Lonchura striata: one gene and its partners. The protein of the gene in region 1 interacts with the protein of each later gene in a pairwise test. Links are inferred from orthologs where the notes say so. Each region holds a gene or a part of one and is shown in the gene's direction. Other genes may lie near its edges.

Region 1 (9,658 bases):
TCTGACCCCATCAAGATGTGAGACCTACCTTGGGCATGACCTTGTACATCATGTAGACGAGGACAAGCAGCGAGGCCAGCAAGCCAACACTGATCCCAGCTGAGTAGTAGAAGATTTGGCTCCTGCAGTGATCACACAGGGAATCAATCACAGCAGGTGTTTTATGGGTGCCTGTGCACAAACACCCCCACCCAGGAGCCCCCGGGGAAGGGAGGGGGCTCACCTGCTCATTGTGTCCCCACAGAAAAACAACAGCAGGCCCAGGAAGAAAACAAGGAACAGCTTAGGGTCAAAACCTGGCAAAAAAAAAAATAAAACAAAACCAAAAATTAATCCCAGTGGAGAGGGGCACAGTGGGAAGCTCCCACCTGCCACAGGGTCACAAGGATGGGACCTCCAAGTGCCCCAAATTCCTTCTGCAGACCGAATTCCCTTCCTGAGGAAGGAACAGGTCCTTGGATCATGAGCTGCCCTGTCCTGCTGTCCCCTGGGCAGCCCCAGGCCCCCTTCCCGCAGCGGGGAGGGGACGTACGTCGGAAGAGGACGACGGAGTAGGTGGTGCCGGGCTCCAGCAGCTCGACCTTGAGGCAGGTTTTGTTGCTGTAGAGATCCACGTCGATGCTGGTGTCGTTGAGCTTGCCCCGCAGGAAGGAGAAGAGCACGTTCCACAGGCTGAACTTCTCCAGCTCCTCCTCGCTGTCCACCTGGGTGACGCGGATCATCCGGCTGCTGGTGACGCGGATCTGCGGGAAGAGAAGGGGAACAGGGCAGCTCAGCCTGGAGAAAAGGAGACTCAGGGGGGAGCCTGTTGCTGTCGAGGCAGGAGGGGAATGAGAAGACTCTGATTCAGAAGGCTGCTGAGAGTAAAACTCTGATTTATCCAAAATACACTGCTCTTTTATACAGAGCTTCATGAGGATCAAATCCATTGGTCCTGAAGTGAAAACAACCCACAGCATTGGTGCAGAGTGCTTGTCACACAGTGATAGAACTTCACTATAAACAAAGTGGAAAACAGAGAGATAAAGAATTATTTACATTCTCTCCAGCTCTTTCCCAGGTGTCTGCCTGGCTAGAAACTCTCAGTTTCTTTCTTTGACTGAATCTGAGACCCACATGAGCTCACTGCTCTCTGCAGCTTCCTGAAAGGTGGCTGTGCTCAGGTGGGGTCGGGCTCTTTCTCCAGGAATGGACAGAACCAGAGGACACAGTCTCAAGCTGCACCAAGGCAGATATAGGTTGGGTATTAGGAAAAGGTTTTTGACTGAAAGACTTGTATGTGACATTCACATTCTCTGGACAGAGAGACACAACTCTGTCTCTGAAGCACAGAGAGAAGAAAACAACCTTTATACTAAATCCCACATAGAGAAAACAAAAGAACAGAGATAAAGATTGTTTTCTTTTCTCCTCCTGAGAGACAGAGGTCTGCCTCTCTCTGTCCAAAAAATGTGAATGTCACAGTCAAAGCTCTGGAATGTTCTGCCCGGGGTGGTGGTGGAGCCACCACCCCTGGGTGTGTTGAACACAAGCCTGGGTGTGGCACTGGCTGCCGGGCTCTGGTTGAGGTGTTGGGGCTGGGTGGGACTGGATGACCTCGAAGGTCTCTTCCAAGCCAGTGATTCTGTGAATTCTGTGAACGGAGGGGCTGCAGCAGGGACAATCTGCTGCCTCCTCCTGCTGCCCCCACCTGTGTCCTGGTCCAGACGTCGTTCCAGCGCGGGACGCGGGTGTTGGTGTAGCAGAAGCGCCGGGATTCCCCGTGCTGGGACGCGTGGCCCTCCTGCAGCGCCACGATCGCATCCTTGGGGCCTGGCGAGCACGGAGAGAAGGGCTCAGGCCTTGCTGCCCCTGCTTCACCCACCCAACCCCTTCTCTCCACTTTGCCATATTCCCCACGGTATTTCCGCTGTTTTCCTCGGAATTCGCCCTCGCTTCTTTTCTGGGATAACCCCGTGCCCTGTCGGGATCAGCGCATCCCCATCCCCGCGTCCCTTCTGGCCCGACTCCCAGCTCCAAAATCCCACCTCAGCGACACAAACCCGAGGGTGCCTCCGGCACGCACTCGCCCCCCGAGGTGAAGCGGCTCCCGAACGGCATCGAGGCCCGATGGTACCGGGAGATCGGCGCGGCGGGACACCGGGACACGAAAGCCCGGTCCCACCGGGCCGCACCGGCCCCGGGAAGCGCTCAGAGTGTTCCCTGGGGGCGGAAGGTGCCTCTCAGCGGACACCGGGCCGTTCCCCGTGGCCCACGCCGCCGGTCCCATGGTCCCGCCACGCCGCCCCGGGAGCCGCCGCTGCCCCGCTCCCCACTATGACTCCCCCCGGTCCCCGCCCATGGACGCCACTGTCCCGCGCACCTGCAGCTTCCAGGAGCAGGAAGGACAGGAACAACAACAGCAGCAGCACCACCGGCAGTCCCGACAGCCGCTGCCGCCCCGGCGCCGGTTTCATCCCTCCCGCCGCGGCTGCACCGGCCGCTTCCGCTTCCGCCCGGTCCCGCCGCCGAGGAGAGTCCACAGCCAATAGGAGAGGCGCTCGCCGGGCTTTGTCGTCGATTGACAGTTGGTTTAACCTATCAAAATTCAGCTTTGATCTCGCGCCCCTCCCCTCTGTTTCTGCCAGGTTGATTGACAGAGATTTTAACCTATCAGTAGTGAGCATGCAGGAAGCAGCCATGTTCCCGCCCTCGGTTACCACGGTGACCAACCTGCCCGCCATTCACTCAACAGCCACGCCCCACCCTGGTAACGGCTCTGACAGACTCGCCCCTCGACCAATCAGAGCGCAGGCATCACAAGCCACGCCCCCACCCCTCGGGTATCCCGTGTGATTGACAACCGCCTCCGCCTATCAGGGCGCGGCCTCGCGGTGTTGGCGCGAACGGGTCACGCGTGGGGGGCGCGCGGGTCCCGCCCCTCGCCCCCCGCCCCTCCCGCGGCCGCCGAACCCGCGGGCCCGGGGCCCGCCGCTCCCACCGGCCCGGGGCCCGCCGGCCCGCACGGGGCTCTGCCAGCGCGGCCGTGGCACGACGGTCACCGGTGACCCGCGGCGCGGAGGGGGTCCCGCATCCCACGGGTCAAGCGGCGGCTCGGCTCGGGGGCTCCGGTTCGCCCCGCTGCCGGCACCGTCTGTCGCTTCGCGGCGAGGCTCCCCCAGTCCCGGGAAGGGGGTGCCGCTCTCCGCGCGGGTTCCCCCCCGCCCCCCACCGTGGGGCGGTGGCCACCCGTGGGCGGGCAGCGGGGAGCGGGCTCGGGCGGCCCCCCCGCTCCCCCTCCGCGGGCCGTGGGCGGCGGAGCCGGGAAGCGGCGGGGCCGTGGGCGGAGGATGTGCGTCAGCCGGGGGCAGCGCCGGGGCTGGGAACGGCCCCGCCGCGCCGGACGCTTGGTCGTGGAAGGCGGGGGGAGTGACAGGGGGGCTGTGGGGAGGGGGTGAACCGGGAGGGCTTGGGCAGGACCCCCGCCATGGGGACCGTGCCCGTGCGGGATCCCCCGGCAGCACCGGGGATGTGCCCCGGGCACCGGCACGGCCCCCCGGCCAGGATCGCGCGGGGGCGGCTCTGGCCCCACGCCAGGCGCCGGCCGCGGTATAAATAGCGCCGAGGCACGCAGGGCCGGACCGGGGTGCGGGCCGTGACACCCCCCCTCCCGCGGGAGGGACCCCGGTGCTGCCGCCGAGGGGCTTCAGCATCCCCCCAGCCCACCCGAGACACCTCCGTGCGCTCCCGTTCTCGCCGCTCCGGGGAGCCGCTGGCGCGCTCCCCCCGGAGCCCATCGATGGCAGCGTGTGCGTGCCGGTGACACCGAGTGCCAGCCCTCCGCAAGGGCTCCGGCACCGGGGGGCACTGCCGGGACAGCGGTGCCGCTACCCGGAGCATCCCCGCTCCCGGTCGGGTTGCCACCGAAACCGGGGATGCTGCGAGCGCTGCCCGCGGGACCCCCGGGATTCAGGGTGTCCGCGCCGACACCGAGCACTGCGTCCCCATAGCGGGCTTCTGCCTCTCCCACGGGCCCCCCGTGCCACGCGTGTCCTGCCCGGTCCCTGCCGGGGTTGCGGGACCCCCGATGCCGCCGTGCGGGGCGCCGCTCCCGCTCTCCTCCCGCTGCTCCGGTGCCGGGGGGGGGTGGGGAAGAAGGGGGGCCGGTGCTGCCGCCTCCGCCGCTGCCCCCCCCCCGCGCTCGGCGGGGGCGGCAGCCGCGGGATCCGCCCCCGGGGCCTCCCACGCGCGGCGCAGCCGGGGCCGCTGCTATTTCACGGTCCCGCCCGTGTGGGCGGCGCGCAGAGCGGCGCGGCGCGGCGGAGAGAGAGCGCCCGGCCCGGCCGCGGGACCCCCGAGCCCCGGCACCCCTCGGACCCCCGGCTAGAGCCGGCCCCGGAGCCCCCCCGCCCCTCGCCGGCCGCCCGGCGGGGCGGGCGGAGCGGACGGAGGCGGTTCCAGGCGGCGGTGAGCAAGCGGGGGACGGCGGGAGGGGACGGGGCACCGGGGGGCACCGGCCGGGGCGGGAGTCCCGGGGACCGTGGCCGTGGTGGGAGTGGAGGGACCGTAGGGGGACGGAGCGACGAGGGACACCGAGCAGGGCGGGGGGCCCACGGGGTGTTGGCTACGGGGCTCCGGGCGGGTCCGGCGCGCCGGGATGCACGGGGAGAGGATGGGACCGGGGGCACACCGCGGCACCGGAGGGTAGCGGGAGGGGTCGGCGGGCTCGTGGGGGAACGGCGGCCGTGGCAGCACTGAGGAACCGTGGGGACGGCGGGGGGATGGAACGGCGGGGGTCGCCGGGCAGAGCAGAGCCCAGGGAAGGGGTGACCCCGGTGGGTCCGGGAGGAATGGGGGAGGATGGGGCACAGGGTGGGCTCGGGGCTCGGCAGGGCACCAAGCAGCTGCGGGGACGCTGGGGGAGGATGGCCCTGGTGGGACCGGGGTGGGGATGGGGGCACCGAGTGGGGCGGGGTCACCAGGGAGGGATGGCCCTGATGGGATCCAGGGGACCACGGGGGAACAGGGCACGGGCAGGGCAGGGGCTGGGGGATGTTGGCCATAGGATCGGCATTGGCACATCCCCCCGAGGATGGGGGGGCTGGGGGAAGCCCCCAGATGTGTATCCTGCTCCATGTGAGGACCTGGCACGGAGGGGCTGCTGGCTGGGGTGGGGGCAGAGGCTGGGCACAGCCCAGGGTAAGGGGTAGGGGCTGGGATGAGTGACCCCACTCATGTCTGTGTCATACCCAGGACTGTGGCCGCAGGGACCGTCCCAGCCCGGAGCACATGGGTGGGACTGGGCACCCCGTGGGGTTTAGGGACACTGGAACACCCATCCATGGGAATGCTCCCTTTGCCCTGTACCCCCAGGCCCCAGGGTGGGGAGGGGCTTTCTCCTGCATGTCCGTCCATCCCGGTGGTGAGTCCGTCTGTCCTCTGTCCACCACAGGCTCGTCATGGCCCTGCCCCGCACGCTGGGGGAGCTGCAGCTGTACCGGGTGCTGCAACGCGCCAACCTGCTGGGCTACTACGAGACCTTCATCCAGCAAGGGGGGGACGACGTGCAGCAGCTCTGCGAGGCGGGCGAGGAGGAGTTCCTGGAGATCATGGCGCTGGTGGGCATGGCCACCAAGCCCCTCCACGTCCGCCGCCTCCAGAAGGCCCTGCGCGAGTGGGCCTCCAACCCGGGGCTCTTCAGCCAGCCCGTCTCGGCTGTCCCGGTCAGCAGCATCCCGCTCTTCAAGCTCTCCGAGGCCGGCGGGCGCAAGGCGCTCAGCAACGGGCACGCCAGCCCCGGCGAGGCCGCGGGCAAGGGGGGCGGCAGCGCCGGGACGCCCCCAGCCCGCAGCCCCACGGAGCCAGGGGAGAAGCTGTCACCGTCAGCGGCTCCACCGTGGCCGGGAAGGAGCACCCCCGAGTCGGAGGGTGGTGGGGACGAGGAGCCGGGCGGTCCCCCCTTCTCCCCGGGCGGGAGCAGCGGGGAGCAGGCGGTGGGCACGGAGCTGGAGCCGGAGTTGGCACGGACGGTGGTGGAGAGCGTGGAGCGGCTGCTGCAGAGCTGCCCCCGGGGCGGCGAGGCCGAGCTGCGGGCGCTAATGAAGCTCAACAAGAAGCTGGCCAAGGCTGTGGGGCACATCTTCCAGCTGGAGGATGGTGACCGGCAGAAGGAGGAGGAGATCCGCCGGCACAGCGCGATCTACGGCCGCGGCGAGGCCCGGCGCCGCGAGGGCAAGCAGCTCACCCTGCACGAGGTGGGCTCCGTGCTTGAAGTTCCTGAGATGTGCTGGGCTGGGACAGGGACCGGGGTGGCTCTGGGGGTGTGGTGAGTGGGTGGGATTCGAGGTCTCCTCCCACGCCGGTTGCATCCACCAGCCTGGAGCCGGCGGTGCCTTAGCCGAGGGTTGCGTGGGCGCCGCTGTCCCGTGGGCGCTGCCGTCCCTGTCCCCGCTCACGCATCATCTCTGCCCCCAGCTCATCATCAATGAGGCGGCCGCCCAGTTCTGCCTGCGGGACAACTCGCTGCTGCTGCGGCGCGTCGAGCTCTTCTCGCTGTCACGACAGGTGGCACGGGAGAGCACCTACCTGTCCTCGCTCAAGGTCGCCAGGTGAGCCCACACCTGGGAAAACCCCCCCTTGCAGGCCTGGTGGGGCCTGGCTGTCACCCCCTTGCCCCCTGGGACCTGCACCATGATCCAGCACTTCTGGATGGGGCCAGGACCCTACAGCCCCCAGTTCCCTTTTGCCAATGTGGGTGGTTTCTGCCTGACCTCGGAGCGTGGGATGTGGGGAGGATGGGAATGATGGGGATGCCAGGCGTGGGAAGGGATGCCAGGCAGCAAAGGGATGCCGCTGGGGATGCCCTATCTCTTGCCTCCATCCCCAAAGTCCCCTGCCCGCTCTGCCAGGGTTGCTTTTTCCCTTTGCTCTCCAGCTGCCTCCCTCTTTTTCCGCCCCCAATTCCACCCGTGCCAGATCCCCAGCTTCTGGCATTGCCCTGCTTGGCGGTTCCGCTCACAGCGCGGTGCCTTGCTGCGGCCACCCCCACCCCTGACACAGCCCCTTTCCACCCCCAGGGCCCATCCCGAGGACAGCGGCGCCGTCGTGGCCAAGCGGCTCAAGCAGGAGGTGGGTGCAGGTGCAGGGGGAGCGTGTGCAGGTGTGCACACCTGTGAGCGTGGGTGTGACGGCGCAACGTGCCCGGGGCTGCCCATGCCAGCTTGGGGTGACGGCTGTGGGTGTTCTGGGGTGGGTGCTGCGGGGGACCTGCTCACCTGTGTGCTCCTGGCAGGCGGGAGAGCAGAGCCGTCCCGAGCTCCTGGCACTGCCGGTGGGGCTGGAGCCCCCCGGGGCCGGGTACCGAGCCAGCGTGGAGGAGGACACGGGCAGCCTCTCCGGGGAGAGCCTCGACGGCCACTTGCAGGGTGAGTGGGGGTCCTTCCCTTTCCTGGGGGGCTGGTGGTGGTCGTGCCCCGGCTCCTGGCGCTGAGTGTCACCCCTCTCTCGGCAGCGGCGGGGGCCTGTCCCCGGCTGACCCCTCCGCCCGGTGCGGCCCCGGACGTGCCCCTCGGCCTCGCGCCCCACGGGCTCTGGAGCCGCCACATCCTCCAGCAGACGCTGATGGACGAGGGGCTGCGCCTGGCCCGCCTGGTCTCCCACGATCGCGTGGGGCGGCTCAGCCCCTGCCTGCCGGGGAAGCCCCCGGGACCAGGTGAGCCCCCGCGGGGCCGGCGGGGCAGGACGGCACCGCTGCCTTCTCCTGTAGAATCGCCATCCTGACGCCATCTCCGTCTTCTCCCCACAGAATTCGAGGACGGGCTGGCAGAACGGGGTCCGCCGGCCCCCCCAGACCCACCTCGGGGCACCATCAAGGTGGAGCAGGAGACCAGCAGGCAGTGAGGCCCCTGTAGCCCCCCCGCCACCATTAACGAAGCAATAACGTGCTGGGGGGACGGGTGCGGCGGCGCTCCGGGCCGGGGGAGCTTGGTGGGCGGGGGGGGGTCTCATCCACAGCCCCCCCGGCCCCCTCCCGTCCCACACCGACGCTCTGGTTACCTCAGCCGCGGCGGGATGCGACTCCCAGCAGCAGCAATACCTTCATCCCGCCCGGCTCCGCTCCCTCGCCGTCCCCCAGGGCTGGGGAGCCCTCGATGGACTGGAGCTCCCTGTACAGCCCCGTGCTGACCGTCCCCCCCACCCCGGGCCCGTTCCCGCGTGGGGACAGACGCGTCGCACTGTGCGCTCCCACGTCAGCGCTGCCGCCCACGCCGGGCACACGGTCCCGTCCGCCACCCCCCCCACCCGCAGCGCCCACGCACCAGCCGCCAGCCCCCTCCCCGCAGCACGTGCCAGCTCACTGTGCACCCCCCCTGCCCACCCTGCGACCCCCGCCCCAGCACCGCATCGGCTGTAAATACCCCCCACCCACCCTCCTCCCGCAGCCCCCGCACGCGTCCCCCCCGCACCCCGATACCTGCGTGTGCTTCAAGCATGGTCCCTGTGCCGGGGGGTGCCACACGTGCCGTGGGGTGTCACCCCCTCCCAGCACGACGCAGGCGGCGTTTGACGGGCACTGGGGAGGTGCTGTTCCCCCCCCAAAAAAAACCCTCGGGGTTCCTCCTCCTTTTCCCCCCTACAAGCCGTGCCCAGCCCCGGGGTTCTCAACCCCCGCCCCCCCCTCCCCGTTAGGACTGTGTGGTGTCTTTTTAGAGCATTAGCGACTCTTCCTTTGTACCGTGTACAGTAGATTATTTATTTTGTTATTTTGGAATAAAACTTTATTTTATGGCTTATCTTCCTAACCCCTGCTCCAGCCTGGAGGGAGGGGCAGGGGAAACAGCTCAAAACCCCAAAGCAAGCGGGGGTGCAGGGGGGCCGTGTCCCTTTCCATGGGGGTCTCGGTGTCCCCCTCCCACCCCCTCCCGCCGGGGGCACCGGGCTGGCACCTCCGCCCCGGCGCCGTTCGCGCTGCCGCCTCCCGCCCCCGCGGTGACTCATCCCGGCGGCGTGGGCTGGGGGCACCGCGTGCGGCTGCCGGTGCTCCCCACGCAGGACGGGGCCCCTGCGCCTGCACCCCTTCACCCGCGGACCCCCGGCAGCGGCGGGGGCGGGCAGCAATGCACGGAGGGGGGAGGGACGAGGGTTACCCCAAATCCCCCCAACCCCGCTTTTCCCAGCTGGAGTTTCCACTCCTGCAAGGAGTAGTATCGAGTCCATGAACCCAGGCAAGGCTGGGAGAGATTTGGGGGGGGGTCCCCAGTCCGATGCTCACCCCCCCCAGGAGCCCCCTCACGCGTGTCCTGGCCGGATGCTGTCATCCCACCGCGCGTCCCCCAGCCCCCAGGAGGACAGGCTGGAATTGGGGTACCCGCTGTGCTGCGGGTGGGGCGCGAAGGGGGGCAACAGGGGCACCTCCAGGAGCTGCTCCAACTCCGAGGCTGACGGCTGCTCCATGCTGGGCGACATCCTGGGGACAGGAGCAGCAGGGTGAGCGAGGGTGGGCTGGGAGGGGCTTCCCCCCGCTGACCCCTCCCCGTGCTTACCACCGCGGAGGGCTCTGCAGCGACGCATCCTCCACCGGCTGGAACGGGGGCAGCTCGGGCATCTCCGCGTCCTGCGGCTCCACGGAGGGACCCGCGGGCAGCAGCTGCGAGACCTCCCCAGGCATGAACTGGTTGGG
Region 2 (9,138 bases), on another chromosome or scaffold:
CCCCAAACACCCTTTGGGGCTGCCACAGCCCCAAATGAGGCTCCCAGGCCACGGGTACTGTCAGTTTTTATTAATTGCTGCTCCCGCCGGGGCTCGGGAGGCGAGGGGGGCTCATAAGGCACCGCAAACACCGCGGGGACAGTCCCTGGTTAATCCCAGCACAGGGGTTTGATCCCATGCCAGCACTGGAGGAGTTGGGATCACCCGGGAGAGTCATCAGCTCCTCCTCCATGGGCATCATTCCGGACTATCCAGTGCCAATCAACACGAGGTGCCCGTCAGCGGGTTCCAGGCACAGGCCGAGTGCCACTTCACTCACTACCAGGACACTTCATTCCCTGCTCCACTGAAGACAGGAATCCAGGAGTTGGGCCTAGAAACACTTGTTCTTCCTCTTGGGAAATCCAAGGGTGACACCCACAATTGTTTTATTGCCGTATTCTTAATAGAAAGTTAATTACTGTTATTTTTTGGTTAGAAAAGACGTTATCCACTGCAGATCCAGAGAGGAATCGAAGTCACCAGAGAGCTGGGAGCCACCCCAGCTGCCTCAGTGATGAAGACATAGGTAACACCCATCACACGTTATTTAATCTGTGCCAATCCTGTGCCAGCTTTAGGCTTTGTAGCTCAGCTCAGCGTTCATCTTCGTGTACATCTCATAAATTGCATCCAGGATTGGAGTGACCCTCGTGACAAACTGGTGGATTTTTTCTATGCTTTCCTCTTCCTTGACTTCTTTACCCTTCTCCAAGGCCTTCAGCAAATCGGATTTGTAGGGAAGAGCATAGACCGAGCCCTGTAAAACAGGGAGAGGGTGTTTGGCTCCCACAAACCCAACAGAGACCATAGGTTGGGTTGCTCCTATGTGCCAACGCTGTGGTATCTCCAGACACTTGTCAGTGCACGGGAACAGCCTTAGGGATGGTGGTTGGATGCTTGGAGAGGGAGGGAATGCTCACCGTGAAGAGCTTCTGCAGCATCCAGCCGTGGTATTTCTTCAGTGCGATCTCATAAGCCTTCAAGGCGTTCACTCGGATGAGGTTGGGATGCTCCTCATCCCTCTCACCATCAGAGATGCTCTGCAGCAACACCAGAATGAATTTCAGACCCCTGGGGAGAAGAGCAGAGATGTTTGGCTCAGGGAAGTGGGTGCTGCTTCCCAGCTTCCAGCCTGGTGTTTCCAAGCATCCCAAAAACCCAGAGTCCCAGCAGTGCATCCCTCTCACAGAGCTGGTGCCTGTCCCTGTGTGCACATCCAGGGAAGAGAGAGAGAAGGGCTGGATGGAGCACCCAGGGCAGGATGGAAGCCCTGGGTGAAGCCAGGGCTGAGCTGGGCAGGGTCAGGTGGATGGATCCTCCAGGCACTGCAGGCTCCTCCTGACCTGTCCAATTTGTGGGCTCATGCTCTGAGGTTCTGCATTCTTGGGGAGCCAGATTTGAGGAAGGAGTTCCCAACAGCCAAACACAGCACCCCACTGCCAGCTGCCCAGCCCACAGGGACCAGCCCAGCACACGCAGCCTCCACTTGGAGCTCTCCAGCTCCCCACATGCCGGGACACAGCCGGAGCAGCTCCCGACGCCGTGAGTCACCTTTTCAACCACATCAGCGCCAGCGTCGCGCCTGTCTTGGGCCAGGCCGAGCCGTGCAGCTCCTTCTCCACCTCCAGGATGTTCTGCAGCGTTTTGAACTTGGCAGGGTTGGAGTCATAAACCGCCCGGATTTTCTGCGGGCAGAAAAGGGGATTGGCACCCGGGAGCAGGGACTTTGAGCAGGAGCTCTGGGAATAAACCTGTGACCGGGTGAGCCACTGCTGAGCCCAAAGTCCTCACGGGAAGAAAAGCCTTTTGAAACACCTCCCACAGGTTTCTCCCCAGGGATTCTCCTCTCTGAGCCCTCCTGAGTCCCTTCCTACCTTGATATTTCCAGTCAGGTCTGCTTTGACCGGCGAATAGACGATAGGAGTCCCCAGGCAATCTGTGGAGACAGGGAGGGAGGACAGTTAGACACTGGTGGCACAGGGGACAACAAACTTCCCTTACCAACAGGTTTCACTTTAACCACAGCTCCGGCAATGAGACTAGTAAGGATCTCTGAGCTTCACACATGGCTGTTGGCCCTTGGGACAGCCCTGCCACTTATTACAGCCCCACCAGTGACCTCCAATCCCCCTGGCTGCTGGACACAGCCCTGGCAGAAGGTCCTGGAACATCCTGCCCGTCCGCAGGCAGGCAGCCCCACGTCCTGCCCTTCCGGGGCTGCCACACAATAGCTGACATTGTGGAGGGCACACTGTGCCACGAGGGCGGCCACGCCGAACACCCACCCGTGTCCCGACACGGCGTGGGATCCATGGGTGGGATGGCAGCTCCTGTCCCGCCGATGCCTCTCTCCTGCACCAGGACGTTTTTCCCAACGGGGCTGCTCGGCAGGTTTGACAGCATCGTGATGCAACCGCGGCCCTGGCAGAGCAGCCAAGCCCGGCGTGAGCCCTGGATCAGGTAGTGGTGGGGGGGGTCACCACACAGAAATGGGAAGATGCACCCCAGAGCGACTGAGCCCACAGCAGGCCTGATGCCAGCCCGCATCTCCCAGCCCCGGCCACCCCGGTCTCACCGAAGAACGGAGGCAGGTGCGCCACGGCCTCCAGGAAAGGCAAAGTCTCGATCTGCTTATCAGCCGGCAGCGGCTTGAACTCGTGTTCCAGCAGCAGCGCCATGACCAGCGTAGCCCCCTTCCTTTCCCCCCCTCACCGCTCCCCGGCTGAGGGGGCTCTGAGGCAGCGGGGGCCGACCCGGCAGCGCGCCCACGCCAGGCTCCGCCCCTCGCCGCTCCGACCAATGGCTGCGCATCGGCCGTACGGCCGATGCGCAGCCATTGGTCGGAGCGGCGAAGGGCGGGACTTTCTGCCCAATAGGAGGCCACGCCCTCATCGCCCCCTCAGACTCGGGGTCTGGCCGTGCGCTGCCCCGGCCGCGTTCCGAGCGCCGGGCGGGCCGGCGTTAATTATTCACGGGAGATAAATATTTGATAGGGAACAGATGGAAAACAAACCTCAACGCGCGCGGGATGTGACGGCACACCTCAGCCCCAGGGGTTGGGTGGGGAAAATGACACCGAGCTGGGGGGGGGGGACGCGGAGAGGTGAAGAAGAGGTGGGAGCGGAGGGAGGCTCAGCCCCGTCCGCTGCGTGCGGAGCGGGCTGGCCGGTGATGGGGCCCCAAATGCGGTGTTTGGACTGGTTATGCTGGAAAAACAGGTCGTGGGGCGATAGCGATCGGTGGCGGGCAGGGCGGGTGCGGGGAGCTGCCGGCTGGTGCCGCCTCCCTCCCCGCTGCCGAATTACCGCGGTGCCCGGAGCCCGTCCTGAGAGATGCCCGGACCCCCTCCCGGGATGCTTGAAGCCCCTCCCGGGGTGCCAGGAGCCAGTTCCGCGGTGCCTGAGATGCCCCGAGCCCATCCCAGGGTGCTCGGAGCCTGTCCTGGGATGTCCAGGGCTCACGGAGCCTCTCCCGTGGTGCCCAGCCCGTTCCGGGATGCCCCGAGCCATCCCGGGATGCCCACAGCCCGTCCGGCGGTGCCCAGCCCGTTCCGGATGCCCCGAGCCATCCCGGGATGCCCGCAGCCCCTCCGGCGGTGCCCGGGCTGTCCCGGGATGCCCTGAGCCATCTCGGGATGCCCGCAGCCCGTCCGGCGGTGCCCAGCCCGTTCCGGGATGCCCCGAGCCATCTCGGGATGCCCGCAGCCCGTCCGGCGGTGCCCGGGCTGTCCCGGGATGCCCCGAGCCATCCCGGGATGCCCGCAGCCCCTCCGGCAGTGCCCGGGCTGTCCCGGGATGCCCTGAGCCATCTCGGGATGCCCGCAGCCCGTCCGGCGGTGCCCGGGCTGTCCCGGGATGCCCTGAGCCATCTCGGGATGCCCGCAGCCCGTCCGGCGGTGCCCGGGCTGTCCCGGGATGCCCTGAGCCATCCCGGGATGCCCGCAGCCCCTCCGGCGGTGCCCAGCCCGTTCCGGATGCCCTGAGCCATCTCGGGATGCCCACAGCCCGTCCGGCGGTGCCCAGCCCGTTCCGGATGCCCTGAGCCATCTCGGGATGCCCGCAGCCCCTCCGGCAGTGCCCGGGCTGTCCCGGGTCACGCAGCGGCCGGTCCGGTTGGGCTCGCTGCGGGTGGCGCCGCGCTGGTGCCGTGCCAAGGCGGGCAGAAACAGGAACCTTTAAGCCCTGAAACGTTTACAGCGCCACAAACCCCGCGGTGCCGCGCGCTCCCAGCCGGCACGGCGGCACCGCGCCCGGCCCGGGCTCCATCCGCGCATCCTGCGAGCGCTCGGGGCGCGGCTCGGAGCGACCCGAACCCCGCCGCCTCTCCATCCCCCGTCCCTCCCGGCTCGCCTCCCTCTCTCCCCGCCTCCCTCCGTCGGTCCCCGCCTCCCTCCGTGTTCGCGGAGCCCGTCTGGCCGTGTCCCTCGGCGGGAGCCGTCGCGGGCGGGCGCGCTGCGATGTCGCTGTGGCGGCGGTGGGGCCGCGGCCCGGAGCGCAGGGCGGCCGAGCGGCGGGAGCTGCAGGAGCGCAGCCGGCAGCAGTGGGAGAGCACCAGCCGCGCCTTCGCCCGCGCCGCCGCCTGCTGCTCCCTGCAGGCGCGGTGGAGCGAGCCCCGCGTCCCCCCGCCCAGGTACGGCCGCGGTCCGGCGGGCCCCGGGGCGGTGCGGGGGTGCCGCTGACCGCCGGTGTGTGCGGCAGCGCGGCGGCGGCGCGGCGGGACGCGGAGGAGGCGGCGGCGCGGCTGGAGCGGCGGCGGGAGCGGCTGCAGCGGCTGCTGGGCGAGGAGCGGGAGGCGCTGGCGGCGGAGCTGCGGGAGCGGCGGCGGGGCGGGATGCGGAGCCGGGAGTTGCGGGACGGCCTCGGAGAGTGCGGGAGGAAGGTGAGGGAGCGGCCCGGCCGTGCTGGTCCCGCATCCCGGGACTCGTCCGGTGAGGGGCCGTTCCGTGCTTCAGCTGTACCAGCGGGACTTGGAGTGTACCAACTCCAACTTGCTGGAGCTGTCACCTCATGGTGCCCTGAACTCAGCCTCGGCGAGGTTTGGGATGCCGAGCACTCCCGTGTCCTGACCTGACCCAGCTCTGTGTTCCCAGTTTGCTGAGCCGCCGCTGCAGGAGCGCTGGAACAAAAACAACGCGCAGCTCCGAGAGGTGATGTTGCTTCCTCTTGAGTCCCTGCTGCCTTGTATTTATTAAACCGGTTTTTAACTTGAAAGTCATCATATCTCTACTGTGGTCACTCATCTTGCATCACAGCAACTGCCCTGAATTCTGATAAACAAAAGGCAAAGAAGTGAAAGGGTTGAAGGGTTGAAATAGTTTTAAGGAGCCCTCTCAAAGCTGTATTTTTAAAAGTCAGAAATCTGTTCAGACTCTGAGCAAATTTTCAGAGCTCACAAGTAAATATCTCAGGCACATAATATATAAATAATATAAAAATATAAACCTTAATATCTCAGCTGTACCTGCCGTGCTGTGGTGCTTCCTCATTCTTTATTCCACCCACGTGCTGCTGCAACATTGCAGTCCTGTATCACTGTCACTGTGACAATGACCTCAGCTCAAGACCTGGTGGGCACCTCAGACACTCAGATGAGCCCACCTCTGCAGAGGCAGATCCTCTTAGGATTTCAGGGCCAGAGAGTCTGGAAGACCTTGGGGGACAGAACCTCTGGCACTGATGACCCTGCTGCATCTGTTGTGTCTCCAGGCAGAGTCTGAGCTGCACAGGAAGCACGTGAGGGAGGCTTGGAGTGATCAGCTAACACAACAAAACCAGGTATGGGGGCAACCCTGGTGTTCTGGTCACTGAGAAGACTCTGAAATGTGTGTGTGGGTGGAGGGGTGACACTTGTGCCATGGGAGCTGATGCCAGGAAGGGCACTAACAGCTTGCAGGAGCCTGTTGGATTTTCTGAGCCAGAAGTTGTTTCTTTGTGTCAGGCTAACCTGAAATGCTGTTTTCTTTTCTTTGGGAAAGGAAGAGGTGACCAAACTTGAAGAGAAGAAACGTTATGAAAGTGAGTACGAAACGGCACGAGGGGAAGCGCTGGAAAGAACAAGACAAGACGAAGAGAAGCCTCAGCTGGAGAAGCAGCAAGCAGAGGCCTTGCTTCAGCAGATAGAAGAACTGAAACTGCAGGAGACAAAGGTAATCTTGACTTTCTCCTCATTGGAGAAAGGAATTTGTTGCTTCACTTGGAAATACAGCAGGGCTGACCTGACCTCTTCTCTCCATGTTTGCACTGCAGGGAGGGCTTTCCCTGCCTGCAGAGGAGCAGAACAGGGTACAAACTCTGGTCAAGCCTGCTCTCTGGGATGTTGTAGCTCTCTGATGTACTCTCTCTTGGTGTTTGCGTTTTCCTTTTTAGGCAACAAAGCTGAAAAAAGAACAAGAGAATTTATTAAAGCAGCAGCGGGAACTGAAGAATTTGGAAGAAGAAAGGAAACAAATGGAAGAGCACCGGAGGAAGAGCGAGTTTGGGTAGGACATCAAGTGGAGCTTGTTTTGGATAGAATTACTGTGCCCACAGCAGTAGTTGGGGCACAAGGAGATATTCTAGGTAGCAGTGGTAAGATGTAAATATCTGGGTTTTGGTGGATTTGCCCACAGCAGCCAGGGAGCAAAGGCACTGGTGCTGTTCCTGCTTTTTGTTTCTGGTAGCAGGTTCCTCATTGTCACAGATGCACCTCTCCGAGTGCAGCTGTACAGTGACATGGTGCTTTAGAGTCAGTGTGATTCTGGTTTGTTTTTTTTTGTTAAATTCTACTTTTTTTCCTCCTTCAGTCGCTTCTTGAAGCATCAGTGTGACATCCAGTTAAGGAGACGAGCACAGCAAGTACAGGAGGAGCTGGTAAGAGATTAATTTATACTTCACAGATGCTGTGTGGTGAAAAAACCTGTTGTGTGTGGTTTGCCTCTGCCTCTTGATTCCTACAGATGAGGAGGCCCCTTCTGGCTTGTGCACAGGGCTGGAGCACAAAGCTCACGGGGAAGCAGCAGATGGAGCATCTTGCTGAGCACAGCCTTGTCACTGTCACCAGTAATGCCTAGAGGAGCCCTGCACATGGAGAGTTGTTAATCTCGTGGTTTTCTCCCCCAGGAGACAGACAGGCAAATCTTATCAGCCCTCCTGGAGAAAGAAGAGGAGGATCAGAGCTGGCAGATCGCGCGGCGGGGACGGGCGGTGGCAGATGTGGCCTGGATGAAGAGGGTCATCGAGGAACAGCTCCAGCTGGAAAAGGAGAGGGAAGCAGAGCTCGAGACTATCTTCAGGTGAGTCTGCCCACCTCTGAACCTCACCTGAGGAGTCCGTGTGTGCTGAATGTTCCAGGTTAGGGGGTCACTGAGAGGCACAAGTGGGATGGGCACATCAACTGGCAGGGAACAAACCTGAGGAGAAACCCAAGTGCTCCTCAAGAATAGGATAGCTTGTCTGTGCCTGTGGAGTATACACGGGGGTTAACCTCAGAGATAATTCTTCCTCTCTCCTTTAGGGAAGAAGCAAAAAAAATCTGGGAGAAGAGGGAAGAAGAATGGGAAAGAGAGAAGGTGGCTAGAGATCGCCTGATGAGTGAGGTGATGACCTCTATTGAGGCTGTGTCCCCCTTGGCTCAATGAAACCATCATTCCACTTGTAACCCACCACCTTTTGGAGAGTTAGAGCATTCCATGGTGGGGTGGAATTTTTTTCCTTGTCTGGTGTGTTTCCTGGGAACTGTTTAACCATCTTCTCCCTCCATCTCCTCCCTTTGCACAGGTCCTTGCAGGCAGGCAGCGCCAGATCCAAGAGAAGATGGAGTTAAACAGAAGGGCCCAAGAAGAATCCATTAAATATCGAGAGCAGCTGATCAAAGAACTCGAGGAGGCCAAGGAAGGGACTCGCAGGGAGAAGGAGCAGGAGGAGGAACAGCAGAGAGCCCGCAGGAGGGAGCTGCAGGCACAGGTAGGCTGAGCTCCCCAATACACACCTGGCTGCTGAGGCTGCCCCATCTCACCTGAATTCCCTGTGCAGGGGACAGAGCACAGCTTGAGAGAGCAAGAGGAACAGCAGGAGGGATCAGCCCAGCAGCAGGAGGCCAAGCAGGGCTGGCATGGCAGGGTAAGGTCACACCTGGCACACACGTGAGCCCATCATGGAAGGTGACAGCATCCTTGTCTCCGACCTGCATTTTAATCATTACAGTGCTAGGACACAACACAGTTCCTTCCCCTCACAGAGCTCTGCAGTTTTCTCTCTTTTCTTTTTTTGCTGATATTGATATATTAGGCCCTAACTTTTAAAGAATTTTTGAGGCAGACGTTGCTAATGCCTCAAATCGTGTTCTGTGCTGAAAGGGATTTATTGGCTGCTTTAGTGGAGTTGGTACAGTGCAATTCCCCTGCTCAGTGTTTTTGTTGACTGTCCTGCTTTGCCTCGCTCTAAAATCAAATTTGAGTAACCCTACCTAAAGCCCCTGCCCAGCCCATCAGCTCCTGTGCATGTTCAAGAGTGTGTGTGGATTAATTCCAGAGCCCAAAAACCAGTGCTGATATTTGCTTTGATCCCGTTAGTTCTACAGTTACCCAAGAGCAGCTTGGACCTGAGGAATGAGCATGAGATGCAGCTTCAGCCTACAGAAAGAAAACTCCTGGAACTCCTGAAATAATGGTGCCTCTGGAATAGCCAACAGTGAGATCAAGACTTGACTCAGTAGATTTCTGAAAACCTTTAGTTGTGGCCAAGCTGAATAGGAGAAAAGTTCTACTGTCTTCAGGAATGTGGAGGTGTGAGCTCCTTCAGAGAAGTGAACTGCTTCACTTTGCATTCTGGAGTTGTGCTCATGTATTTTAGTACGTGAGAGGCTGAAGCAACCCAACAAATAAATGGGCCCTGTGGACCTGAGCCACAAAAGAATCTGTGTCTGCCCTGGAAGAGGAGCTGTGAAACACCACGGGCTGTGTCAGACTCCCACCTTGGAGAATCAGGCTGTGACTTGGCTCCCACTGGACTCTGAGGAGTTAATTCATAATTGCAAATCAGTCAGATCATGTGTGCTGTGGCAGCAGTGCTTGTCCAGTTCCTCTTCAGAAGGTGCTGCAGACTTAAACATTGTTTTTCA
Region 3 (9,849 bases), on another chromosome or scaffold:
CTTTCTCTCAGCAGGAGCTAGTGTACTGGTTTAGCTGCAACCTTCTTTCTGAAGGGATTGACAGGGTACAGCTTTCTATTTACCATTTGCTGGAGCTGAATTTTCTGTACTTCTCTGTTTGCCTCATGCCGTCCATGTTTTTTGTTGTTTTCCATTTCCAGGTGGATGCGGGCTTTTTCCATTAACACATCCCGTTCTTTTTCAGCCTCTTCTTTCTCCTGTCTCTCCTTTTCCTCTTTCAACTTCATCTGTAGTTTACAAAGCACACAAAAGTTAACCAAGGAGCTGGCCTGCTAAGCTGGAAGTTGGATCTCTCTGCAGAAGCAGCCCTGAATCAGTGCCCCAATGAGCTCGGTCGCTGTGGCTGGCCAGTGTCCAAGCCCAGGGTTTCAGCAGCCCTGGCAGAGGTGCACCCAACACAGAAGGGAGAAAGGGAGAGGGGACTCCAGGAAAGGCATCAGCAGACTTGCTGAAGCCTGCTGCTGATGGCACCAGAGTCGCTGCCTGTGGTCTGGGCCAGGCTCCTCTGCTGGAGTAAGCAGAAGTAGCCCAAGTTTCTTACCACAGTGGCTCTGTGTTCAGCAATAGATTCAATGGCAGCCTTTCGTTTTGCTTCTCTCTCTTTGCGTTTTTTTTCTTCTTCAGCTTCTATTCTTGCCACATCTCTAGCCAGTCGATGATCTTCCTTCTTTAGTGCCTCACCCATTTGTTCCGCTAATCGACTACTGATTTTGTCCTGTTGTTCCTGTACTTGTCTGCAGAAGAACATGAGCTTCCATAATATACGAGAGCAACACTCCTGGGTCTGCCTGAAGCTACCAAACTCAGCAATTCTGCCTCTAGAGTTCTCTCCTCTTGACCACACAGACTGGCCCACCCACCTAACTCATGATCTCCTTCTGTTCCTCCTGTTTGGTTTATTTTTATATTAACTGATTTAGCAAATAAATGTTCCCAGTGTTCTTGTAGTACTAGTTTCTGCAGCAATAATGAGCTGGATCACTCGGTAACAATTCCAGTGAGCATCTTGCCATCAGGAGGGGAATGTTGGAAGTATTGTCCAGAAGCAGGAAGGGAAGAAAACTCTTAGATTGACTCAGTGGTATCATCATCTAGTACCTGCAATGTTAAACTGATAAAATATTTTCCCCTTTGTAAGAACACAATGTGGTTAATTAATGTATGTGCCTTGTTGAGAAGTCATATCATTTTTCTTGAGCTGACTCAGAGAAATATAGGTTATACTCAATATTTTCATCAAGGATCTTAATTGTCTTTAATTGTTGAGGAGGTGGAGATCTGGTAGGCCATATGGAAAATCTCTCTTCAAAATACACTGGTGCAAAGCTTTGCACTTTCATAAGCCTCTGTACTTTGAAAGGTGGAGAGATTGCTCCCTCACACTTAGTAAGGAGCCTGTGAAAAGAATTCCTTTTTCTCCTGAATTCCCTGCTCTCCCTCTCAGTAGAATTTTGAATAATGTTTTAGAATAACTGTAAATTGTGTTATATCATTAGTCTAAATGATCTGAAAACAACTACAGTATCATTTTTAGATTATTCACAATTTATACCCTAGCATTGTACCTACCTACGCATTTCAGCTTCTTTCTTTTTTCTCATCTGAGCAATAATTTCCTTTGCTTTAAAATGAGCTTTGATCCGATCATCTTCTTCCATTCGGTTTTGTTCCTCTATTGCTTTGATTATTTTCTGGTCATTTACATACTCCTGTATGGGCAAAATGGTCCTGATGTAACAGATGATGTTTAGAATATCTGGACCTGGGGTAGCAGCTTACAGGAATCACTCCCTGTTCCCCCTCCTCAAGTTTCTTTTAAAAACATAAGAGAAAAAAGGGATCCTCAGGAAAGGAGAGAGAAGACAGAAAAGGGATACTTCCACTTACTTCTGCCTCTCTATTCAAACATGCATCAAGAGGAGACAGTAGATGTGAGGGTGGGGAAAAGGAATTGAGCATCAAACAGCTGCTTCTCTGGTGCATTGCACAAATTGCTGTGTGATGCAGAGAGCATTGTCCCATACTCCCACACACAAACAGGCGAGGGGGATGGTCCAACCACCACCCACACGCAGATCATTCTGCTCCTGACCCCACCTCATCCAAAACTACCCCGTCTAAGAGCTTCATCCAAAACACAGTAGGAAAACACAGGGTTTTTATGTAAAAAAACAACTGTCTTTTGCATTCTGGCCAGAACTGCTCTGAGGCACTTCTTGTTTGTACCTTAGTAGGATGCCTTTAAAGATGAAATGAGGTGGCAGCAAGTCTTGACTAAATTCCTAAACCTCTCCAATCATAAATATCTAGTCAAAAACATACATTCAGTCACTATTCCCTCTTTCGAACAAAGAAAAATGGGCTTAAAACACCAGGAATGTGAAACTTAAATCCAGTTCTCAAGTCAAGGAGATATTCCTTGATGTTTTCAGTCAAATCTTTAACCAGAGACCAGTCAAAGGATTAAATGCCAACATCCTGTCAGACAACAGAAAGGAGGGGCCTCCAAGAGGTCTTTCTCAAAAGCACAGAGAAAACAGATGGCCTGCAATTGGCAGGGTAGGCATTTGATACCAGGCTACTAAAACTGTCAGCAAAGACCCTGTTACCCACAATCCTGTTTATTTGTGGGCCAAGTCCAACCATCACAGCCAAGGTGAAAATAGGCATTTTGAACTGTCTGCTTTCCTGCTACTTACATGATACAGCTTCCGGCGTTCAAGTTTTTCCTCGTGTTCCTTTTCTTTTTTTCTCTGAATTTCTAGTTGGTACAGTTGAATTGATCTCTGTAGTTCTTCCTCTTCTCTTTTTTTTTCCTGTTTGGCCAGATCTGCCTGATGCTCATGCTCCTTTATTCTGAATCAGAAAAAGGTGAATAAATTGTCTAGGAACTACATGAAGTAATGAACTGCATAACCATAGGTACCTTGCATTGAAGAATGTGATACTTTGAGTTGAAGGTAGGTAGAATATCAGAGGTGAATGACAGCATGATTGTTTGTAATGGTAACCCTGGTCAGAAATGATCTGCGTGGTATGCTCACAGTTTGCAGTCTTGTGGTGTTAAATTTTAGTTGGATGACTCATTAGCACCACTGCATTGGTAATGCTCTGGCCTATATCTGCAGCATTCTTGGAGAACAAGATTTCCCCAATATGACCCACCATACCTGTGTTTCTTCTGGGCATGCAGGCAGCAGCTCAAACTGGTAATGTTCTATACTAAGTTCTGTAAGAATCTATGTTTTGCACCTGGAATATGTAAGACCAGATTTGAACCCTTCCTCTGCCTTGGGAAGTTTGATTCTTTCTATCAGACCATTAGGGCCAGTCCTATAAATACCACTGGGGACCCCTCCATAAGATTTATGGAAAATCTGAGAGAAGGAATAGAAGTGGCAGTAATGCCTTCTCTTGTTGTGCAGTCTGGAAGCTCATTATGGGTAAATGGAAAATCTAATTTAACCTTTTCCTTGTCTGGAACAAAAACTGAGTAAAGTACACTTAAATTTCATTAACAACATTTTAACAGTGATTTGACTAAAACCTGCTGATGCTTCCCAGAGGCAATTTTGCATACAAACTGTTAGCAACTAAAAACGCATATAGCTTTTCCCTTTTGGGCAAGATCTTCTGTGATCTGCTTTTAAAAGTATGGCATTTGTGAGACAAATTATTAGCAAGTTCTGTAAAAATCTCATGGAGTGTATTTTGAGAAGAGTTTAAATAAATAATGAAGTAGGGTTGCTTTTAATTACTACTTACTGTTGTAACTGATCTTTGCATAGTGCCTGTTGATTCATATAATGCTGATGTGCTTTTTCTTGCTCGCTAATAATGTATTCTTTAAATTGACGTTGCTCTTCTTCATAGTCCCTCTTTTTGTTATCAGCTAATCTTGACTTAAGAAATTCAACTTGAGCATCTCTTTCTTTTAGGACCTTAGTAAGTAGAAGTGCACTCTGCAAGAGAACATTTAAAGTCATTTTCATATTCAGAAGTATTTAGAGACATTCAGTACAATTCCAATGTAAAAAATATAAGCTGTCAACAAACATGGAACTGTCTCATTCTGTCATCCTGATTAGATAGGTAGGTTTTTGCACGGTCAATAGCCTCCTTCCGTTTTGCTGCTTGGAACTTTGCTTCTTCCAAATCAATTAACTTTCTTTCTTCCTCTTCCTTTTCTTCACGTAGTTTTTTGGCTTGAAGTTTCTGTTGTATCAGGTTCTATAGTGCAGACAAAATTAGAAATCACACTTAAATTTTGGATTGGTTTTTTACTTTGCATTTCAGCTTTAAGTAAAAAATAAATGTTTATGTTAGATGTTAAATGTATCTAAATGGCATTTAGCTGAAATAACTATTCAAAAGAAAATGTTGAACAAAGGAAGTATAGCTAGAAATGTTACAATTCTATATATCTTTTGTATATTTGTATATACAAAAGCAGCTACCCTTGTTTTCAAATGTACTTACCAGGGCCGCACTGCGCGGGTCTTCGCCAGCAGCTTTGGACTCCAAGTGCACTTCATCCTGTTCTTTCTTCTCATCGATGTGTGCTGCTTCTCTAGTGCTGCCCTGAATCCTTTCCCATTCTGCTTTTGGCAATATAATGACCTGATGAAGATCTGCTTCATTTGGAAGGAAATACTCATCTAGAACATCCCTTTCTTTCCAATGATGTGCTGTGGAGAGGGAAGATAAAATACAAGGGTTACTTGATACCAGAAAATCCAATAATCAAACATGCATCAGGATTTGAATGCTGGAATGGTAACAATACTAGGTTATTCTTAGCATTACTTAGTCCCTCATCCCCGAACCCCAGAGCTAAGACAGGGTATCTGTATCTGTAGCCTACCTATGACCAGTGCATGTACTTGGATGGGCACTGACTGACTGGGCTGTTTGTGTGTATGTGTGGGTTTGGCTTGTAGTAACACACTTCCCAGGCAGTACTTGGGCATGCTTCTTAGAACAGCAGGGGGCAGAGACCTCCCTAAATGAAGAGGAGAATATTGGTAAAGCCATTCTGCTGGCTGGATGAGGCAGCAGTTTGGACACAGACTGTGCCTTACTACCATGTCCTGCACATACTCATCATATTTACTGAAATAGTTCTGCTGTAGAACAGTTTCTGATTTGTTAGCAAGACTAGGATTTCTTTGTTGCATTACGCTCACATACATATGTGCAGGCATAAATGCAGCTTTTCTAGTTGATGTCTAGGTTTTGTAAAATGCACTTTCAAGTGTCACCACCATTTTTGAAGGAAGTGGCACTCTGTACAGAGTGGTATTCTGCAGAAATTGTGTGATTTGCAGCAGACTGACAGGCCACGTCTGAAAGGTAAGGAGGCTTTCTATTAGAGTGACACCGGTGTCAAAGTCGGCTCTCCAGATGCCGTTGCTGACCGGTTTCCCGACAGGGGTCAAACCCGATCCTCTCCCTCTGTCCTAGGTGAAGACAGCCTCCGCAGAAGTAAAGGCGCCCTGATGCGGCCGTGCCCTGCAGGCAGGACTCTGGCAAGCCCCTCGTTCTTCCCCAGCTGCTGTCCCTGGAGGTTCGGGGGCCTGCGCTGCGTCAGGTCAGTTCTCTCCGCTCGGCTCCAAGGGACAGACAGCCCCTCCTGCGGTCTGCAGCTGGGGGAGCCTTGGGGAGAGTCAGGCTGAGCACCCGCAGCCTCCCGGAGCCCTCCCGCGGGTCCCGCTGCCCGCGGCGCAGCCGCACTCACGGGCGCCGCGCCGCCGCCGCCCCGCCGCCATCTTGGCGGGCCGCGCGCCGTTGCCGGGCGCCCGGCGGCCGCGGTCACGTGAGGGCGCGGCGGGCCGGGCTCCCGGGGCGCTGCGACCGCGCGCGGCCGCGTGGAGCGCGCGGGCTCCGTCCGCTCGAACGACGGTGGGCGTGTCCTTCCGAAACACCGCCACGAGAATCCCGGTTTGCTGGCGCTGGCAAGTGCTGATGGAGAAATTGGTATCTGCTCAAACTGATGGTGTGTGAATATGGAACATTGGTGCTGCGTTAGGAAGTATTAGTAAGCATGAGTTAGATACTGTCACGGTTACTATTTATAACAGAAGTTGGACACTGAAGTTTGGCATTTACAAATTGCATTTTTAGCTACAGCACAACTTTCCCATCTTGGTAATGGCCATAAATGGTTTATTTTGTTCCAGTATTTTCCTCCAGAATTTTTCTCTTCTGAGCACAAGGTCAGGGTAAGAATATAGTACTTCTGCTTATATAAATAATTTTCTTATTTGTTTGTTTTGGAAACTGTTTTCTCACAGCTATGAAATTTCTGTTGGTTTTTGATTTTGACCATACAATCATAGATGAAAATAGTGACACCTGGATTGTGAAATGTGCTCCTGAAAGAAAACTTCCTAATGAATTAAGAAACTCTTACCAACCAGGACATTGGACAGAATATATGGGCAGAGTCTTTGTCTACTTGGGAGATAATGGTGTCAAAGAAGAAGAGATGAAAAGAACTATGACAACAATCCCTTTCACTGCAGGAATGATAGATCTTCTGGGATTTATTGGCGAGAACAAAGAGTTGTTTGATTGTATAATTGTTTCAGATTCTAATACAGTATTTATTGACTGGATTTTGAAAGCTGCTGACTTCCATAAAGTGTTTGATGAAGTGTTTACAAACCCTGCCACATTCAGCAGTACTGGCTATCTTACTGTACAGCATTTCCATGCTCACCATTGTGCAAAGTGCCCTAAAAACCTTTGCAAAAGGAAAGTTTTAAAAGAATTTCTAGATAAACAGTTGGAGCGAGGAGTGAGTTATACACAGATTATATATATAGGTGATGGTGGGAATGACTTATGTCCAGTAATGTTTTTGAAGAAGAATGATATTGCTATGCCCAGGCAGGGATATACCTTGGAGAAAAGGATTTCTCAACTGGCCCAAAGTCTCAGTCCTGTACAGTGTTCTGTTCTGGTTTGGTCATCTGCAATTGACATTATGTCTTACCTGAAACTGCTTATAAAGGAATGATTCAAATGATAAAAGGCAACTGATGCAGTTACATCTTAACTTACTGGGAGAGAAAAACTGCATGTGTATAAAAGCTCAAAATTGTAAAATTGGGCTATTATCTGAAATTATGAGGGTTTTAACCACAACATAAAACTGTTTATGTTCAATCCTGGTGATAATGGGAAAGCTCAGTAAAAAGGCCTTCTAACACAGTACAGATTCCTACATAAGTGGAGAAGGAATGTTGGGACAGGACTTGTCATTAGTTTCTGGCTACTCCCTCCCCTCCAACCCTTTACAAGTATATAACTGATACATACTTGCAATCCCACACACTTAGGGGAAGGAGTAGGATTCCTGTTCAAAAGAATTAAATCCTTTACTTAGGAAACATTAGCTGCCAGGAGCATGGTTCTAGAGCTGTTGGCCTTTATACTTCTTTGATCTGATGGCAAATTATTTGCTTGTAATCTTATTTAATCTGAAGATGCATTTATATTTTCAATCTACTAATTATTTCACCGAACAAAATTACTTCTTAATATTTTGTATTATCTTGTATTGTAAAGACAATAAAAGTTGCTGTCACTGAAAAATGCAACACAACTAATTTGTGTCATGTATTCTGCTGGCCTGTATTTCATCAGGCCTGGAGAGAATAGACACAAGTGTAGGTGTAAGCCTTTAGCTGGTCATACTGTTTCTCTTCTGGAAAGCTGCAAGGATGTTGCTTTTTTGTTTAAAAGAAAAGTCTCACTCCCATTCTGACTACTGCCCCGACAGCATGCTGCTGCCACCCTGTAGAGAGCTGACAGTGGTTTGATCTTCCATGCTGGCAGCTCTGATTCAGCCAGATGCTTTTTTTCCTCCTTGGTTTCTGCTGCAGTGCACAGGCTCACAGAATTGTACATACATATACACGCATACACTGATTTTACCTATTCATTCTCATTTATATCTACAGCACAATCTCTTACAGTCTGGAAGGAAGTATCTATGTCCATTTTAACTTTTAAACAGATGGTTCTAAGTAGTTCTGAAGAATTGTGACCATGCAGTCTTTCCACTGGCAGTGAGGTGAGCCCCAAGTGTTGGACTGTCCATATAAAGGTATTAAAAGCAAGTCTCATTAAAGTTAAATAATGTGTTTTCATGCCAAATGTTTTTATTCTTATATCTCAGAAAAGGTTCAAAATGCTGATGCAATCTGCTGTTAAACTGAGGTCATATTTAGCTTAAGTGCTTTAATAACTGAGAGATTAGGCCAAATTTCACAATACCTCAGTTGCAGATGTCTGAGGAGTAGCTCAGCAGCCTGCAGTTGCCATATCTGTCTTCCTTTGTTTTCTGTGCAAGGTTATTCTTATTTTCTTATTGACATTTCGTACTATCACTGTCTTCTTTTTCCTTAATTGAAGATTTTTGAGTGGTCTTGCCTGTTTTCAGGCTGCTGGTTTACACAAATTTCCCTTGTGCACTTCTTTCCTTGCCTCACCTATTTTACTGTATTGTAAAAAGTTGCTTTGAACAGTCTGTTGCCTGAGATGTCCAAAGCAACATACTTCAGTTCTCAGGAGCCTGGCTTTAGTGATGGATATTTGGTAGGTGTCTGAGATGTTCATATTTGGGATCTTAGCCTAATGTTTTACTCAAAGGCATAAAGACATTGAAGGACTGGTGGGTCTCAGGCTGTGGCAGGTTTAAGTTGTCTGGTTTACAGGTCATACAGAAGAATGGTAATGGCTGTTGCATAGGGCAATTTCATATATTACTTTGAGTTTGAAGTTGTTGCCATCATTTGACCCCAGATGGCAGCTAAGTAGAGCAGCTTGTCCACTCCAATCCCCCACTGAGTGGGGAGGAGAATTGGTGAAAAAATTAAATCCTATGAGTTTAGATAAGAACAATTTAATAATTGAAACAAAATAAAATATAGTAGTACTAAGTTACTATAATTGTAATGAAAAGGAGAGAGAAAGGAATGAAGTGCAGGAGAAACAAGTGATGTAGAATACATTGCTCAGCACCCGCTGCTGGATGCCCAGCCCACGCCCGAGCAGTGCTGGGCCAGTTTCTGTACTGAGTGTGCCCTCCCATGCTCTGGGATATCCCTTTGGCCTGTCCGGCTCAGCTGTCCTGGCCATGCTCCCCCAGCTCCTTGTGCAGCTTCTCACTGACAGAGCATGGGAAACTGAAAAGTCCTTGACTATGGGTAAGCACCACTTAGCAACAACCAAAACAACAGTGTGTGGTCAACATGATTCTCTTAGTAAATCCAAAACAGCACTAACCAGCCACTTAAAAGGAAATGAACTCTATTCCAGCCAAAACCAGGACAGTTGTATGTTTCCTTAATTCTAGATGTGCTTCTGAATGTTCCAGATTCTGTGCTGGTCTCTTCTGTGTTTTTCAGAACTTATGGAATAGCTTGCTTTCAGTTTGTTCACAGATCTTGGTTACTGCTTGCTTAAAAACAAACAGTAAATAGTATATCAGTGATCACTCCGCTTTTTCTTCCACTTACACTATCTATCGTTGTCTTAGCCTTAAGGGTCTGACCTTGTAATTTGCTGTGAGAATAAAATAGTGGTGAGAAATTGTTCTTCATGCTCACAAAAGGGTTTTTCTGTGGTTTTGCTTAAAGTGCTGAAGCAGAAGTTGAGAGTAGATTAAGGAGAGTACTTGAAATATTAGCAGTTATGTTCTAATCACTTCAGGTAGGGGGTAGAGCTGATATTTGCCAAACAAAGTGCATGTTGGAGACAGAAGAAATTTTTCAATTCCAGTAGGCAGACCATTAAGCTATTAATCAGGTCTTGTTTGGG

The links.
Region 2: the proteins of NAB2 (region 1) and TCHP interact in binary tests that used the Homo sapiens proteins (3 or more experiments, as listed by UniProt). The two-hybrid records come from large-scale screens. The link is inferred for Lonchura striata from reciprocal best matches to the Homo sapiens genes NAB2 and TCHP.
Region 3: the proteins of NAB2 (region 1) and PHOSPHO2 interact in binary tests that used the Homo sapiens proteins (3 or more experiments, as listed by UniProt). The two-hybrid records come from large-scale screens. The link is inferred for Lonchura striata from reciprocal best matches to the Homo sapiens genes NAB2 and PHOSPHO2.

Annotation. Positions count from the first base shown.
Region 1 is NC_134629.1:5,745,419-5,755,076, forward strand, and holds NAB2 (NGFI-A-binding protein 2), read left to right. Parts: upstream 1-5,379; 5' UTR 5,380-5,438; coding exon 5,439-6,233; intron 6,234-6,453; coding exon 6,454-6,587; intron 6,588-7,055; coding exon 7,056-7,107; intron 7,108-7,270; coding exon 7,271-7,403; intron 7,404-7,489; coding exon 7,490-7,690; intron 7,691-7,783; coding exon 7,784-7,878; downstream 7,879-9,658. Other genes in the region: NEMP1 (nuclear envelope integral membrane protein 1), read right to left, coding at 29-122, 224-296, 533-743, 1,691-1,812, 2,363-2,723; STAT6 (signal transducer and activator of transcription 6), read right to left, coding at 9,268-9,445, 9,522-9,658. UniProt on the Homo sapiens protein: Acts as a transcriptional repressor for zinc finger transcription factors EGR1 and EGR2. Isoform 2 lacks repression ability.
Region 2 is NC_134620.1:11,048,989-11,058,126, reverse strand, and holds the start of TCHP (trichoplein keratin filament-binding protein), read left to right. Parts: upstream 1-4,788; 5' UTR 4,789-4,872; coding exon 4,873-4,920; intron 4,921-5,131; coding exon 5,132-5,188; intron 5,189-5,747; coding exon 5,748-5,816; intron 5,817-6,016; coding exon 6,017-6,187; intron 6,188-6,407; coding exon 6,408-6,520; intron 6,521-6,823; coding exon 6,824-6,890; intron 6,891-7,139; coding exon 7,140-7,312; intron 7,313-7,533; coding exon 7,534-7,615; intron 7,616-7,796; coding exon 7,797-7,982; intron 7,983-8,051; coding exon 8,052-8,138; intron 8,139-8,590; coding exon 8,591-8,623; 3' UTR 8,624-9,138. Other genes in the region: GLTP (glycolipid transfer protein), read right to left, coding at 617-799, 963-1,113, 1,594-1,727, 1,917-1,978, 2,328-2,445. UniProt on the Homo sapiens protein: Tumor suppressor which has the ability to inhibit cell growth and be pro-apoptotic during cell stress. Inhibits cell growth in bladder and prostate cancer cells by a down-regulation of HSPB1 by inhibiting its phosphorylation.
Region 3 is NC_134610.1:19,715,329-19,725,177, forward strand, and holds the start of PHOSPHO2 (pyridoxal phosphate phosphatase PHOSPHO2), read left to right. Parts: upstream 1-5,499; 5' UTR 5,500-5,611; intron 5,612-5,758; coding exon of another isoform or gene 5,759-5,789; exon of another isoform or gene 5,790-5,814; intron 5,815-6,314; 5' UTR 6,315-6,316; coding exon 6,317-7,042; 3' UTR 7,043-9,849. Other genes in the region: CFAP210 (cilia- and flagella- associated protein 210), read right to left, coding at 84-248, 563-755, 1,591-1,730, 2,721-2,877, 3,787-3,983, 4,078-4,251, 4,501-4,709, 5,759-5,789. UniProt on the Homo sapiens protein: Phosphatase that has high activity toward pyridoxal 5'-phosphate (PLP).